Linked DNA regions of Diceros bicornis minor. Each later gene encodes a partner of the first gene's protein in a complex. Links are inferred from orthologs where the notes say so. Each region holds a gene or a part of one and is shown in the gene's direction. Other genes may lie near its edges.

The links. Proteins that work in one complex are often made in the same cells at the same time.
Region 2: the proteins of BCAR1 (region 1) and SH2D3C are in contact, whole or in part, in a crystal structure (PDB 3T6G), measured with the Homo sapiens proteins. The link is inferred for Diceros bicornis minor from reciprocal best matches to the Homo sapiens genes BCAR1 and SH2D3C. Residues at the interface, in NP_055382.2 of Homo sapiens: Ser739, Gln742, Phe746, Tyr747, Gln750, Asn754, Val779, Ser782, Lys783, Ile786, Leu787, His790, Val793, Phe794, Ile795, Asp797, Thr798, Arg801, Gln802, Ser816, Asn817, Cys820, Leu823, Arg824, Val827, Lys831; in NP_733745.1 of Homo sapiens: Thr543, Val544, Pro545, Val547, Gly616, Val617, Arg618, Glu622, Thr625, Leu626, Pro627, His628, Leu749, Leu752, Leu753, His771, Gly772, Val773, Glu774, Val776, Leu777, Leu780, Glu781, Ala783, Arg784, Ala787, His788.

What each region holds. Positions count from the first base shown.
Region 1 is NC_080771.1:25,786,080-25,794,125, reverse strand, and holds the start of BCAR1 (breast cancer anti-estrogen resistance protein 1), read left to right. Parts: upstream 1-5,006; 5' UTR 5,007-5,105; coding exon 5,106-5,117; intron 5,118-8,046. UniProt on the Homo sapiens protein: Docking protein which plays a central coordinating role for tyrosine kinase-based signaling related to cell adhesion. Implicated in induction of cell migration and cell branching. Involved in the BCAR3-mediated inhibition of TGFB signaling.
Region 2 is NC_080767.1:35,781,489-35,788,641, reverse strand, and holds the start of SH2D3C (SH2 domain-containing protein 3C), read left to right. Parts: upstream 1-4,080; 5' UTR 4,081-4,209; coding exon 4,210-4,246; intron 4,247-6,339; coding exon 6,340-6,817; intron 6,818-7,153. UniProt on the Homo sapiens protein: Acts as an adapter protein that mediates cell signaling pathways involved in cellular functions such as cell adhesion and migration, tissue organization, and the regulation of the immune response.

The sequences.
Region 1 (8,046 bases):
AAACTCAGCCATGGCGGAAGTTCAGTTTGTGGGGGCCAGGGGTCCCCCTTATACACGCCTGAATCCCCGGAATCTATGACTAGGTTACCTTACAAGGCAAGAAGTGCTTTGCAGGTATGATTAAATTAAAGATCATGAGATGGGGAGATTTTCTTGGATTATCTGAATGGGTCCAGTGTCATCACAAGGTTCTTATAAGAGGGAGTCAGGAGTGCCAGAGTCAGAGAAGGAGATGAGATGATGGAAGCAGAGGTCAGAGTGATGTGGGGCCACAAAAACGGGCCAAAGAATGCAGGCGGCCTCTAGAAGTTTAAAAAGGCAAGGAAAGGGAATCTCCCCTCGAGCCTCCAGAAGGACTGCAGCCCTGTCAACTCATTTTGGATATCTGACTTCCAGAACTGTAGGATCAATTTGTGCTGTTCTACACCACTAATTTTGTAGTAATTTGTTACAGCAGCAATAAGAAATTAATGCATCTCCCCGCTGCCACCACGTCCTGAAGCCCCACTGTCTAAGGGACGATGGTTTCCTTCTGCACCCAGCAGCCTGATGACCTGAACATTACTCCCTCCCCTAAGCAGATGCCCCCCAGGCAGAGTATACCCAAGGTTCTGTGCATGAGGGACAGCCAGGGAGGTGCCCTGCCCCAGCCCCCAGGACCCACCTTCAAGAGACTGTGAAATTACCCTCAAGGATGTTGGAAACTGGGCTTATTTAAGGTCATGAAGTAAGCGTGCAGTAGTGCCAGGACCAAGGCCTAGCTTGGCAGGTCAGTGGGTTCCCCATTCACTCCACTCAGCTGAGCTTCTCTCTCTTGCCAGTCTGACTTGCCTTCCTGGGGAGAGGTAGTCATTAACACTTTAGAATGAGTAAGACAGGACATCTGGCTCTGGGTACTCCCCCACCTGTCAATATGGTGTTACTACAGAGTAGTAGAGCTTGAATCTCATGTTGAAAACCAGGCTTGGGGTGGGTAGTTCCCTTGCTCATCCACTCCAGAGCTCACAGGGTCCTGTCAGCCACCCCCAACCGTGAAGTCTCCCTCTAGGTCTTCCAGAAACAAACTCAGTTCTTGCCCTCTGAGGGAGGTGCTTAACCACACCTGGCTCATGTGTGTGGCAATGATGGCCCCTGCTGTTTCATAAGCAAGGATTCTAGTGCCCTGAACTTTACCTGAGTCATTCAACCGAATCCTTTCAACCACTCAGGGAGTTTTCCCTCTCAATTCACAGATGAGAAAACCGAGACCCTGGCAGGTTAACTCACATGTGCAAGATCATTCAGCTGCCAGGAGCAGAGCAGGATTCAAACCAGGTCTGACTGCAGAGCCCAGAGCTGCCTGGGGTTGGCCTGCAAAAGAATTTCGTTTTGGCTTACTCAGTCAATGGTTCAAAATCAAGAGATTTTATAAAACAATCTAGATTTCTAGATGCTCTTGAAAAAATCTGATTCACCAACTGAAAGAACTCCCAACAGCCAAAGCAGGAACAATTGGAGCAAGAAAATAAAGTAGTATTGGATTATAATCCAGACTACAAAATAAATATCCACAAGTTCATACTAATATAAATAAATGATTGAATAAATAAATAAATGGAGAAGAGACAAATTTCCCATACAGAAGAATTCCAAATAATTTATATAGATATTCCATCCTCAAGGAGGAACATAACTCCACTCCTTCCAAAGAGTACAGTATAGAAAGTGGGGGAAAAAAGAGTAAGTTGATAGTGGAGAAACCTGACAAACACTGTCTCAGCCAGGTGATCAAGGTCAACATCAACAGAGATAAGTCCTGTTGATAGTATGTATCCTTGATATGATGTGATGAGAAGGGCCTTTTACCTTTGTGATCTTCTTCCTAAAAAACCATAACCGCAGTCTAACCATGAGAAAAACATCGCACAAACCCCAACTGAGGGACAGCCTGTAATATCCCTGACCAGTACTCCTCAAAACTGTCAAGATCATCAAAAACAAGGAAAGTCTGAGAAACTGTCATAGCCCAGAGGAGCCTAGGGAGATGTGATGCCTAAATGTAATGTGGGATTCTGGATGAGATCTTGGAACAGAAAAAGGACAGTAGGGAAAACCTAAGGCAATGTGAGTAGAGTATGGACATTAGTTAATAAGGATGTATCAATGTTGGTTCATCAATGGTGACAGATGCACCATGCTAATGTAGGATTATGACACAGTGCCCACAGGTGCTTCCAAAGGCTCAGGGCATTCTCCTGGGCCAGGGGCCCCTCTGCCAGAGCGGTCCCCAGTTACCCTGGGAGGCAGAAGGAGAAGAAGCCACCTCCCAGGCCTCAGCCCCTCTAGATGCAGCAAGGCCCAGGGAACAGAGGCCAGGCTTGAGTGTTTGGAGAACTGGGTGTGAAGCTTGTCTCTGCCCAGATTTACTCTGTGGCCATGTCCAAATTCCCTTCCCTCCCAGTGCCAGGGACAACAATAACCCCTGTCTCCCTGGGGCCCTGGTCATCCCTCAAGGACCCTCTCAGGGGCTGGTGCCTGCTCAGGCCTCCCAGCTGTTACTTCTGGTGTGAACTGCTAGTCGTGAGGCCCCCAGAGCCTGTTCTCTGCAGGACTGAGTAAGTCATCCTGGGATCATTTGCCTGCTGGAGAGTAGGGGATGCAGGCAAGTGGTGAGAGGAGAGAGGAGCATCTGCTGCTTTCATAGACACCTGGTACTTGTTCAGGGGAGGGCGCTCAGTGCCCTGACGGGGCTCCTCTGGCTGCCCCCAACCCAATACCCAAGGCCCTGGGTCCCTGCATCAGAGTAAGTGAGGGTCTGGCCAGGGAACCTTCTTTCTGCACTAAAAGATGAGTTAGTGATGCCCTCCCTGAGTGAGCAGCCGTAAGCAGTTGTTGGGGGTCAGTTGGAGGCAAGGACTAGGTGGTTTGGAGGTCATGGCCCCAGCTGCACCCCTACCCTGGGTTTCCATTTCCCTGTGCCCAGCAGTGTGGAAGGGGTCTTTCCCCGCTGTTCAACCAGTTCTGGCAGGAGCATCTAGAGATGGGGCCGATGGGAGAGAAGACAGAAACAGTGGACGAAAAGAATCCAGCCAAAGTAGGAGAGGAGGGAGGAGGAGCCTGAGTGCCAGGAGGCAGGCTTAGTGAGGGAGGGGGCCAGCATGGCAGTGGGGGCCTCTGGGGCAGCGGCCGTGTGTGGCTGGGAGCCCGGGTGCCAGGCTGAGCTGCTGCTCACAGCTCAGGAGCCCCTGTGCCAGCTGGATGCGGGCGGGTGGGCACGGGCAGGGCTGCCTGCCAGACACATACAGAGCGCCCTTTGAGGAGGTGGCAGCTGTCGGCCCAGACCCCCCTCTGCTTGCTGTGGCCCTGCCTGCCCCCTCCAACAATGCCTTGCCGAGCACTGGGCTGGGGAAAGTGAGGTACACAATTGGGAACCCCCACTCAAGGGGTAAAGGGGGGCAATGCTGCTCAGTTGGAGCAGGGAGGGACCCCAGCTCATCAGTCCTAGAACCAGGACCTGGGCCTCATGGCAGCTCTCAATTTCCCCCTTTCTTGCACATCTAGTACCCCTCTCACTGCTGGTGGCCGCTGTTAGGACTCTCCCCAGGACCCGCCAGGAGAAAGACCAAGGGACCCTACCTCTTGGGGAGGAAGACTGGAAAGCCTCCAAAACCCCAAAAGATGATCTGCAAATGGGAGATTTTGAGAGCTAGGGAGCTGGGGGCCAGACCTGGGTCTCTGGGGAAGCCCACTTGGCACCTGTCACTGCTTCCTCCTTCTGCTCAGTCACCTTAGGCCTCCTGGCACTGCACACTTGGCAGGTGAAAGAGCCTGCACCCTGGGCACCTGCCCCTACAGACTTCCTAGGGGGCTGGAGCTGTCTGTCTGTCCCCCAGGTCCCTACCATTAGCCACAGCTGCTGCCAGCCAGCCTCATGGAACTGGCTCTGTCTTTCTTCCTCTGGGTGGGCAGCAGTGTCCACTGCCCTGGCCCCTGGAACCCTGGTCTAGGTGCTCACTCATTCTCTCTGGGCAGTAGCAGCCATTTCCCCTGTCTGGCTTTGCCCAGGAAGGGCCCCCAGGGAGCAGGGACAGCCTGTATGTGGTGGGCAGCAGAACAGAGTGGTCAGCGTTCTGCCTTCTAGTAGCTGAGGGATATCAGAGCTAGTCTGTTAAATGTAACATGTGAACAGCAAAGCCTACCTAGCAGGGGGGTGGGGAAATTAGGACGCACATGTATGTGCCCCCTGCCTGTGGGTAAGGTGCCTGGACACCATGTCAGATGTGGAACAGCTGAAGAAATTGGGGATATTTAACCTTGGGAAAGGAAAGCTCTGGCGGCTAATGCCTGTCTTCCAGTGTCTGAGGGCTGGCCCCTGGCACAGGGACGGCTTGGTTGTGGGTGGGCCGATGAGTGGGGGTTACCAGGAGACAGGATCCTCCCTAAAAGCCAGTCCATCTCTGACTGTCAGGGTGACCCGACAATGAGTCAGGCTGTTCCCAGGGAGTCGGGAGCTCCCTATCCCTGGGGGAGGGGCAGTGGGGGGAGCGCAGAGCAGGCAGAGGAACTCTGGGCAGGGCTGCGTTGGGAGTACCGGGGGTCTCTGGGCTTTCAGCCAGGGAGTGGGAAGGGTTCCTAGGAGCCGTGTTCGGCTGACCTGCAATCGCCTTCAGACACAGGGACTGGGAGCCCGGCCAGGACCACAGGGCAGGCTCCCAGCACCCTGGGCTGGGCAAAGCGGGGGGTAGGGGTTCTGGTCTCCAGAACCGGTTGGGTGAACAGGAGATGGTGCGACTCAAGGTGGCCCTTGAAGGATGCGTAAGGGGCGTAGACCGAGCCTCCTCGCCCCGTTGGGCCGACAGAAAACTGCCGGGGTCCAGGGTCCTCGCCTTTAACGCGGCCCCCGGTGGAGGAGACGGGAGGGGGAGGGGCGGCGTGGGGCGGCGCATGCGCGGCGGGGGCTGGAGCGGCTGGAGCGGCCGGACCGTCCGGCCGCCGGGAGCCAGCGGGAGCCCGCGGGGACCCGGACAGCCCCGGACCCCGCGCGGGGGCTCTGAGCTGCGCGGCGGACCGGAGCCCCCAGCCTGCCGGCGTCGCTGCCCGCCCGGGCCCCGGGAGCGGCGGCCAAGATGTCTGTGCCGGTGAGTACCGACCGCCGGCTGGGACCCGGGGTCTGCTGCCCCCGGCCGGGCCTGCGACCTCGCGCCGCGCGCTGAAGGCCTAATGCCGCTGGGGCTCCCGGGCTGGGGGGCGCCCCACCTGGGCCTTCTCGGGCCGGGGATGCGGGCAGGTGGGGGCGTCTCCCCCAAGCCGGCCTCTCTGCCCCTGCCTTTCTTTTCATCCTCTCCCTAGAGAGTCGGGTCGGGCTGGGCTCCGTGCTGTTCTCTCAGGGAGCCCCCCGGAAAGGCTGGGTTGGCAGGTTCTTTGTTGGCCCCCGGGGAACCCCTGGGATAGCTGGGCCAGGCAGGAGTCCGTGTAGTCCCTCAGGACCTCCTCCCCCACCAGGATGGCCAGGCCTAGTGGGGAGAGGTCTATGCTGCTCCCCAAGACCCCCCCACCCAGGACGGCTGATGCACTCACTTTCTCGGGAAGTTTTCCTCTGCCGCTGAACCCCAGGGCGCCGGGCCTGGCCCCTCCCTGCTTCTTAGCCAGGGGGCTTCTCTTCTCACCTAACACCCCCTCTGCCTGGCCCAGCAGGCAGGCTTGGGCAGCCCCCAGGCCTGGCTCCACACTTAGGCCAGCATCTGGAGGCATCTGGGTCCCACCTCCTGAGGGGAACAAGTGATCCTGGCTACCCCTGTCAGGAGGCCTCAGGTCCAGGCCCCAGTCAATGCCCGCTTTACAGATGGACAGACTGAGGTGGGGGCTGAAACGCTGCATCCTGCCTGGGAGGGGCGCCCTCTGCAGGCTGGAAAGCTGTGGCCTCTAGCCATTGTTTCACTGCTGAGTTAGGGGCTTTTCCCTCTGACAGCAAGGGGCGGTGGGCCAGGGCGCCCCTCTACCTGGCCTTGTTTCTGGAACTGCTCCTCACCTAGGGAACCTGATCCTTATGTTGAAGCAGACAGTTGGGGCTTCCTGGCAGGGTGAGTGGCTTCTTAATTAACCACCATAGAGTGTGTGGAGATTACTGGAGGAGAGATGCTGTGTAAGTGCGAAGCATTGTTATTATGGAATTAAAGATCCCGGCTCCTGCCTGCCTCCAGAAGCGGTAATGCAGAGTTACAGATGAAGAAATTAGGGCTTCCAGACCGTGCCGATGTGACCCCCCCATCTGTTCTGGTTCAGAGCATAATTGCCTCATCTTTAGAAAGAAAGAAAGAAGACAGAAAATGCCTGCCAACCCCTTCTTCTCTCCTGCTCTGCTTTATTGCAAAACTCTGGATCTCTTCTGGCCCGAGGACCTGCCCTGACCCTGTGGGCACTGGCCGGAGGGACAAGGTGGACCACCTGAGTCTGCTTGAGGTCCTGGGTCTCCAGGGCAGTGGTGAACAGGGAATGTGACTGAGGCCACATCAGAGCCTGGACGGGCCTCAGTTTGGGAGGTCAGCCATTGATTGGTTTGGTTGTCCCCAGTCACAGCAGAGATCTGGACATGGAGTCTGGGGTGGCAACCAGACCCCTTGCCTTGTAGGACTTTGGTAGCCTTCCTGGGCTGTGTGCCTCAGTGGCCCCATCTGTAACAAGCGAGGGATGGCGGGAGGGCCAGGGTCTGGCTGTGACTTGGACAGACAGGCACTGCTGTGGAGACTTGCAGCCAATGTCTGCTCGGTCTGTCCACACCATTGCCAGCTCCGAGTCACTGCCCACCTTCCCACCTGCAGCCACAGCCCTCAGTGATTCTGCAGGGGGTGGGGGTGGGGATGTCTCACCATCTGCCCCCTACGTGGCTGGCTGTCAGATCATCCTGGCTCTCTCCTGAGACCTTGGGCAGCGTGTGAGCTGATGGGGCTGGGAGGAGAAGTTCATTTTTGGAGCAGCCGTGAAATGTTTGAAAAATTGCTTTCATGTGCTGGTGAGTGGTGAGGCCCCTTGGAGGCTTCCACGCCACGCCCTGCTCTTGGAACCGAGAATGGTGATTGCCCATATGGTGCTCAGGACACATTGGGTTTTAAGCACACCCGTTCATTTGGGCAATCTTTTCCTGGATGGGGCTGACGCAGGCACTTTGGCCCACAGAAATTACAGGATACTTCAGAATGGAATGGGAGGTGATGGCGGGGACAGAAGAGGTTGGGATGGGCCAGGTTGAGCCAGGAGTGACTTCCTGAGTGTTAGAACAGGGGCACCCTCCAGGGATCAGCTGGTCTCACAGGAGGTCTTGGGCCCAGAGAGGGGAGGGCACACAGGCTCCTCCTGACTCCCTGCTCAGTGCTCCTTCCTCTACCCTGAGCTGAGGGCAGTGCTCACGCAGCACCTGGAGACGCACTTCCTGACTGTTCTCTGACATCTGCCTTCCTCTTGGGCATGACCATCTGGCGCCCCAGGCCTGTCTCTTCTCTCTGGGCAGGCAGGAAGCATTCGAAAGGAAAACGGCTGTGCCACCCACTTCAGACCCCTGGTGGGCATTGGCATGATCTGTGTTTAGGAGTGACAAATGCTGGCTGTCCCCTGGCACTATCAGGCCAGAAGTTCCTTGCTGTCTGTTCCTGCCTCTTGTTTCCTGTCTGTGAAATGGGCACAGCCATTCCAGCCCCTCCTCTGCTCCTTTATTGAGTGAGGGACGGGTCCTTTCAAGGAGTGAAGGTGCTGACGTGTGTGGAGTGCCAGGCACTGGGCTCAGGACGTCACAGCCTCAGGGAGGACCTGTGTCTTGCCAGGGTTGCATGGCCACTGAGAGATGGAGCCAGGGTGGGAACCAAGTTGGGCAGGATCCAAAGCCTGAAAGTGAGCGTCGCCCTGCGTGGTCTCTCTAATTGTGGGGGCTGTGGCCTGTAGAGCCGTCCACAGAGGCCAACCTCGCTGAGGGACCGACCCTCTTCTTGTGGCTTTCCAAGCATGAGTTTGTGTAACCCCTTCGGCACCCCTGGGAGATGAGGCAGTGGGAGTGCAGAGAGGCCAGGCAGCTTTCCC
Region 2 (7,153 bases), on another chromosome or scaffold:
GGAGCTGGGGCACAGCTAGGGCGGAGCACCGCTGGGCTTGGTGTCCTGGCTGCCCATGGGAGGTGTGGGAGGGGATGGTAGCACTGGGGGGTCTGCTATGGTTTTTGGTGGCTTCTACCCTGAAACTTTCAGGCTGGGGCCCCTGCCTGTTTCCCACGAGCCTCCCTAAGTCACATCCTGTGGGCAGACGCCTCAGCAGAGGGTTCCGGTGGTGTCATCACCTCCACCCTGCCATCCCTGGTCTGAACCCCAACATCCGCCAGTCACTTCCCCTTGGAGCCTCAGGCCCTCAGCCCTGCCCGATGGAGGGAGGCAGGCAGGAGTGGTCCGGAGCCCTCCGGAAAGCTGCCCAGGCTGCCCAGGCCTGGGGCCCAGATCGCCCACGTGGAAGTGAGAAGTTAGGTCCTGGCCAGAGACAATTTCTCTCTGACTTTGACATCTGATTGGCTGGTTCGGGGGAAATAGTTCCTGCCCCATGGATTGGCTAAGCTGGCAAGGCCAGGCACCTGGCCAGTACTCAGTAAATGTTTGCTGACTGGCTGGCCAGGCTCTGAGAGAGCGCCTGGTCCTGCTGCCATTTAACACGTAGGGAAACTGAGGCACGGAGTACGAACGGGAGCCACTAGCCAGCTGTTTGACCCTGGCCTGAACTCTCGATTTTCCTCCCCTGAGCAGAGACAGGATGGGGCATATGGAGGGAAGGAGAAGACAGGCTCATGGGTGGGCTACTCTTGGCTGCTCATACATCTGGGGGACAAGGGGTCACTGGATAGAGATTCAGGACTGAGCATGGCTGTGTGATGCCCTGAGCCCTGTAACACCATGATGTTCTGCCCACATCAGCCAGGTACTGACTCTGTGCCTGGCAGTGTTGATATGTGTCATCCTCCTGGAACTTTCCAGCACTCCTGTTAGGAGGTTGCTATTATTGGGCCCAAGTTACAGAAGAGGAAACTAAGGCTCAGAGTGGTAAAGAGGCCTGCCCAAGGCCACACAGCCAGGAAGCTCTGCAGCTGGGATTCAAAGCCAGGTCTCTTTGCTCTCAAAGCCCAGGGTCATTTACCATCATCCTACACCGCCCCCAGGACAGACAACTGGGTCGAGCTGGGGAAAGGCATCGACTGAGACCAAGAGCATAGTAGGCACGGGGCCAGTGTGGATGCATAAGGCTAGTTTCTCTCTCAGGGAGCATGAGGTCTGCTTGGAACATGCCATGAAAACAAAGTGTCTGTAACGTGGATGACACTCTCAGTACAAATGTTTTATTTCATCGCTACAGGATCATGTGAAGATGTTGTATTTGTTCCATTTTACTGATGGGAAAAACGAGGCTCAGAGAAGTGATGTCACTTCCCCAAGGTCATGCAGGTGGGGTCTGGACTCAGGTCTGCCTGGGCCAATGCCTTTGACTATGAACTTGAAGGTCTCCAATCCTAATGGTTCCTGGCCAAACCAGGCAACTGAGGCATAGACTGAGGGAGAGGGGCAAGGACGGAGGGGACAGAAATCAGAGCAGGGTTCCTGGGGACACTATGGCTCATTCTAGACCTGCAGAGACTCCATGGAAGCAAAAGATGGAGCCAGTGGAGGGAAGAGTAGCATCCAGGTGTGGGTCCAGCGCAAGCAAAGACCTGGGGGCAGGAAGGCACTTGTGTGTTCAGGGCTGCAGAGCGTGGACTGGGCTGGGCTGGCCTCCAGCGCAGGCTGAGGAGGGCCCGCGGGACAGCCACCCGCCAGCAGGTCCCCAGCCGCACTCCCAACGGCCACTCAAGGCAGCACAAAGGGGGCTCTCAGCTCAGCGGAGCCGCCACACTGAGCCCCATTCATCCTCCCAGGGACGCGGCAACTGCCCTGGCGCCCGGGCCAACGGCAGGGCCAGCCTAGCACTGACAAGGCACCTCCACCACGGCAACACAGCCGCGCCGGGGCCGGGGCTAGGACTCCCGGCTCTCACGCCATGCGCCTGCTCCGGGGTGTTCCTGGCCAGTGCCAGTCTGCTCCTGGCCTGAACCACCCCCATCCCTCAGCAACAGCCGCCGTTCCCTAGTCCAGGGTTTGCTGAGGCCACAGTGCACTGGCCTGGGCCAACATTTGCTCCTTTCATCCTCCCAGGAAGTGGGGGCAACTGTGACCCCATTTCACAGATGAGAAAACTGAGACCCAGAGAGGTAAAGTCTCTTGTGAAGGATCACAAAGCAAGTTGTGAGTGGCCCTGGCTGGGAAGCTAGCCCAAGTCCCTGGACTGCCTCCTGGGAAGAAGCTGGGGGACCTACCCCTTGCCTTCCACTAAGAAGACCCCCAGCTACCACCAGGCCACAGGCCCCTCTCCCTCTTCTGACAACAACCCAGAGATAGGAGTTAGAATACCTGGGTCTCTGTTCCTCTTCAGCCTCAGTTTCATCTGTGAAATGGGACACACCAGGATTCACCTCACAGGTCTGTTGTAAGGATTCAATGGACGATCTGTAGAGGCTTCTAGCTCCATCCTTGGCTCATGGTCAGGGCTCAGCAGAAGGATCTGGAGTCATTCCCCTTTTTCCTCCCAAGTCCTTGGTCCAGAAACCCCATCCTTTTCATTTGAACTTTGAATACTGGTCCCATCCAGACTGGTCTGTAAGCAGGACCCTGCTGCCTCAGTCTCATGGGCTGTGTCCCTCTCAGGGCCTCGGGTTCCGTCTCATCCCTTCAAGAAGGTTCAGCCAGACCCCTCCCCCACCAAAATCCATCATCCAGCTGCTAGGGGCTTTTGGGAGCTGTGGGCGTGGAAGGTAGGCCCTCAGGCCCCACAGCTGGACAAGCAGGTTCCAATTCCAGTTAACTTGGACTTTTCGGGGCCTCGATTTCTACATCTGTAGAATGGGAACAAAAGTAATGACATTACCTCTTAGGGCAGAAGGACTGAGCCCTGTGGCTGGAACATACTAAGTGATCAGAAGATGTTAATCGTCATTATTCTTGTAGGGGATGCAGGAAGGGCCCCATCTGACCTTGGACTCACTCTGTCACAGCCTCGGTTGCCAGGATGACAAGGTCCGATCCTGCTGGAGCCTCTGCGGGTTGACTGCGTCCCTTGCACTTGAGCCCTTTCTAGAGGTTAGGTGACTGAGGCTTCAGAGCGGAAGTAACTTGTCCACAGCGCTCAGAGCTGGGATTTGAAGCCCCTGGTCTTGCGGCTCCCCCAAGCCGAGCAGCTGCTGACAGCCTCCGCAGGTGTCTGGGACAACCTGTCTTGGGAGGTTTCATTTCCTCATCTCTGTCCTGCCCACGTGAGTGTGCCTACACACACACACACACACACACACACACACACACACACACACGAGAAGGTTGTAGGGTGGAAAAGTCCCAGGCCCTGAGTTAAGGGACCTGGAAGGGCAAGTTGGAACCCAGTCTGTGCCACCAATCTGCTGTGTGAGCTGGGGCAATCCTTCTGCCCGTCTGTGCCTCGATTTCCCTATCTCTGTAAAATGGGTGTGGTAGACCAAATTACCACTGTGTCCTTGCCAGCTTGAAGAGCAGTGACCATGCCTTGGTGGGCACCGATTCCATGCCAGGCTTTCCACCAAGCCCTGGACCCCGTGAGGGGGGCATTGCACACACCGTCTGTTCACAGGAGGAAACTGAGGCACAGGGAGGTGAGTTCCCTAGTCCAGGATCACACAGTGACAAAGTGGCTGTCCAAGACTTGAAATTGGGTCTGGGTGGTCCCAGAGCCCACAGGCCTAACCACAGCACTCTCCCATCCACCACCACCAGTGCGTCCCCCCAGCACTGAGGCTTAGAATAAACTGCCCTGCGCGCAGGCCTGACTCCCCGCACCCTCCCAGCCCCCTGGCCAGACCCCCTGACAGCTGTTGGCAGGTCCCCAGCGGCCCCCGGCCCAGTGGGCTCCGTTCCCGGAGCCTGTGGTTTGTTCCCCAGACCTTCCAGGTCCCACGGGCTTGTGGTCTGCCCCCTGCGCCCCGCTGCTGAGGCCAAGGAGGTGGCCCACAGGGGCCGGGACTGGGGGAGGCCGCGGCCCCCGCCCCTGCGGACAGAATGAGGAGGGTGGGGCTGTGGGAGTTTCACTGGTTTAAAAATACACAGAGGAAGCGAGTGAGAGGACGCGAGAAAGGGGAAGGGGAGGTGAGGGAGGCATCTCAACGCTGATGTCCAGAGCCTCGAGCGACTACTCGCCAGCAGGCCAGGGGCTTTGCACGACCTGCCAAGATGACGGAGGGGCCCAAGAAGGCCAGCAAAAAGTTCAGTAAGTGCGGGGTGCTGTTGGCACTGTCCTTCGTCCCTCTCTGTCCATCTCAGCCTCTCTCTGCATCCGCCTCTTCGTCCCTTCGTCTCCTTTCTGTTTCTCTTTCTGTCCATCTCTGTCTCTCTCCAGAGGTCTCTGCTCCTGGGTTTCCATGTCACCATCTCTCCATGTCACCATCTCTCCATGTCTCTGGCCCAGTCTCTCTCTCTCTCCAGCTGGTTCAGCTCTCCATCTCTGTGCTTCTCTTGACTCTGTCTCTGCACATCTCTTTTTCTCTGTCTCTCCCCACCCCACCTCTCAGTCTCTCCATTCGTCTGTGTGTCCCTCTGCATGTCCATCTCTGGCTCTCCCTGACCTCACGGCTGGGTAAGGGAAGACCTTCACACATTTCACCCCCTGTCTCTGCGCCTGGTTCACACGGGGTTTCAGGTTGGGCGTTACTGGGGCCAGGGCCGAAGGGTGCCATGGATGCTGTCCCACATTCCCACCAGCAGTGGGGCTGTGACGCTGGGACCGAGCATCCGGGTGGGGAAAGAGCCCAGAGCATCTAGCCGAGGGGCCACACCCACCCGCCACTGTTTGCCCTGGTTGGTCTCCTCCTGGTCCCCGCAAACTTCTGCTTCCCCTGACTCCTTGGATCCGCCAGCACAGGGTGGGGGAGGGGAGGTGTGTGTACAGGGCAAGGATTTTGACTGCATTCTGCAGATGGAAATACTGAGGCCCAGAGCCTTGCCTGAGATCATATGGGGCTATAGAGCAGGGCTCAATCCCATGTCCCTGGACTCTGGGCCTCAGTTTCCCTCCCTACCCAACTATTGTTTCTTCTAGACCCCTGGTACCCAGGAGACAAAACAAGTGGTGCTGAGAAAGGAGGCAGTTTGTGGTCCTCCTCCTGGCCACTGGCACAGCTCCTGCCCCATGGTATAGCTTTCTAAGAGCAGAGCATCTGCATTTTCTGACAGTGTTGTCAGGAGGCAGAGGCTAAGACCAGGTGAGGGTGGGCAGGGCCGAGAGGAAAGCCCAGAGCACTGACCCAGCAGTCCAGGGCCCTGGGCCCTCGACCGGGCTCAGCCCTGCTGTGTGACTCTGGGCAAGTCTCTTCCCCCCTCTGGGCCTCAGTTTCCTCTCTTGTCAAACGCGAGCATCCTACCTATATTCCAGTGTGGTTGTGAGGACCTGAGGAGGCAGAGGGCGCCCAGAGAGTGGAAAATGCCAGGCTTTTTCCTTTTTCCTCATCTGGAGGCAGCAGGGAAGTCAGATGGTGGCGGCTGCGAGGAGGGGCTGTCCTACAGCTGGGGGAGGGGAGGAGGGAACTCACAGGCACCCCTGCGGAAGCGAGGAGATGGTATCACCCGAGCACTGCCACCAGAGCCAGGACCTGGGCTCAGCTGACAGGAAGGACAAAACCACAGGAAGTGGGACCCTCAGGCTCCCGACAACCCCCTTCTCATTTCCACTCCACCCCCGGTGCACAGAGGCTTGCTCAAACACCACCTCCCAGCCCCAACACACACATGCACACATGCACACATGCACACACACATACCTGCTTCACCCACCGGCCGTGTGACCTCGGGCAGTTCATTTCACCACTCTGAACCTCAGTTTCCCCATCTGAAAAATGGGCGATTAAACTTGTGTCATTGAGTTGTGCTGAGAATTCAGTGAGGTAGTGCATGGAGCACGTCTGACAAATGCAGAGGTATTTATTGTGATCACCACCATCATCATCATCTTCATTACTTCTTATGGAGGATATTCTCTGTGCCAGGCACCATGTTAAGCATGTAACTTACATGCTTTTCTTCAATCCTCCCACTGCTCATAGGAGGTGGGTACTATAATCTCTATTTTACTGACGTGGAGAATGGGGCTCAGAGAGGTCAAGTGACTTGCCTAAGGTCACACAGCTAGGATGTGAAAGAGCAGGAATTCAAGCCCAGGGCTACCACAATAATTAGAGAGAGTGTCAGTGAAGCCCTCACCCTCCTTGAACCCTCAATGAGTGGAACTGCACACACTTTTTACTGTTATTACTAGTGTTGCTGCTGGAATCGTCATTAACTCCTTTCCCTCCTCTTCCCCCTTGCCAGAGTTCTTCAAGTTCAAGGGCCTTGGGAGTCTCTCCAACCTCTCTCGGTCCTTCACTCTGAGACGGTCCTCGGCCCCCACCAGTATCCAGTCCCATCTGAAGCCTGACACCTTTGAGGCCACACAGGATGACATGGTGACAGTACCCAAGAGCCCCCCAGCCTATGCCCGCTCCAGTGACATGTACAGCCACATGGGCACCATGCCTCGCCCCAGCATCAAGAAGGCGGCATCAAGACAGGCCTCCGAGAAGGCCCAGGAGGTGGACCCTGAGCCCCATCTGGTGCCCCAAGATCTGCCTGACCCCCCCGGCTTGGAGGCAGCCAAGGAAATGGTGGTGGGGACCGATGCTCCCTTGGAGGACACCCCAGCAGTGGGACCCAACCCCCCAGCAGTGGAGGGGGACCCCATAGGAGAGCCTGACAACCCCAGGACAGACATAGAAGAGGAGAGAGCCCCTGAGGATGTGCCCCCAGAAAGGTAGGTGCCACCCACTGGCAGGTGAGGACGGGACCTGCGGGGATGGTGTCTCCAGCCTCCTGCCACTAGAACCTGGAGAGGACCCCCAGCACACACATCTGGGTAAAAAACACACACCTACACACCAACCAAGTGCTTAATATAAACCAGGCAGTGTGCTTAGCTCGTCACTGGTAACCAATTCTCAAAAAAAAAAAAAAAAAAAACTGGAGAGGAAATGCTGTTATTATTTCCACATGACAGATGAGGAAACTGCGACTCAGGGAGGGAAAGTCCTCTGCCCCAGTCAGGTTGCACATCTAGCAAACGACAAAGTTAGGATCTGAACCGAGACCC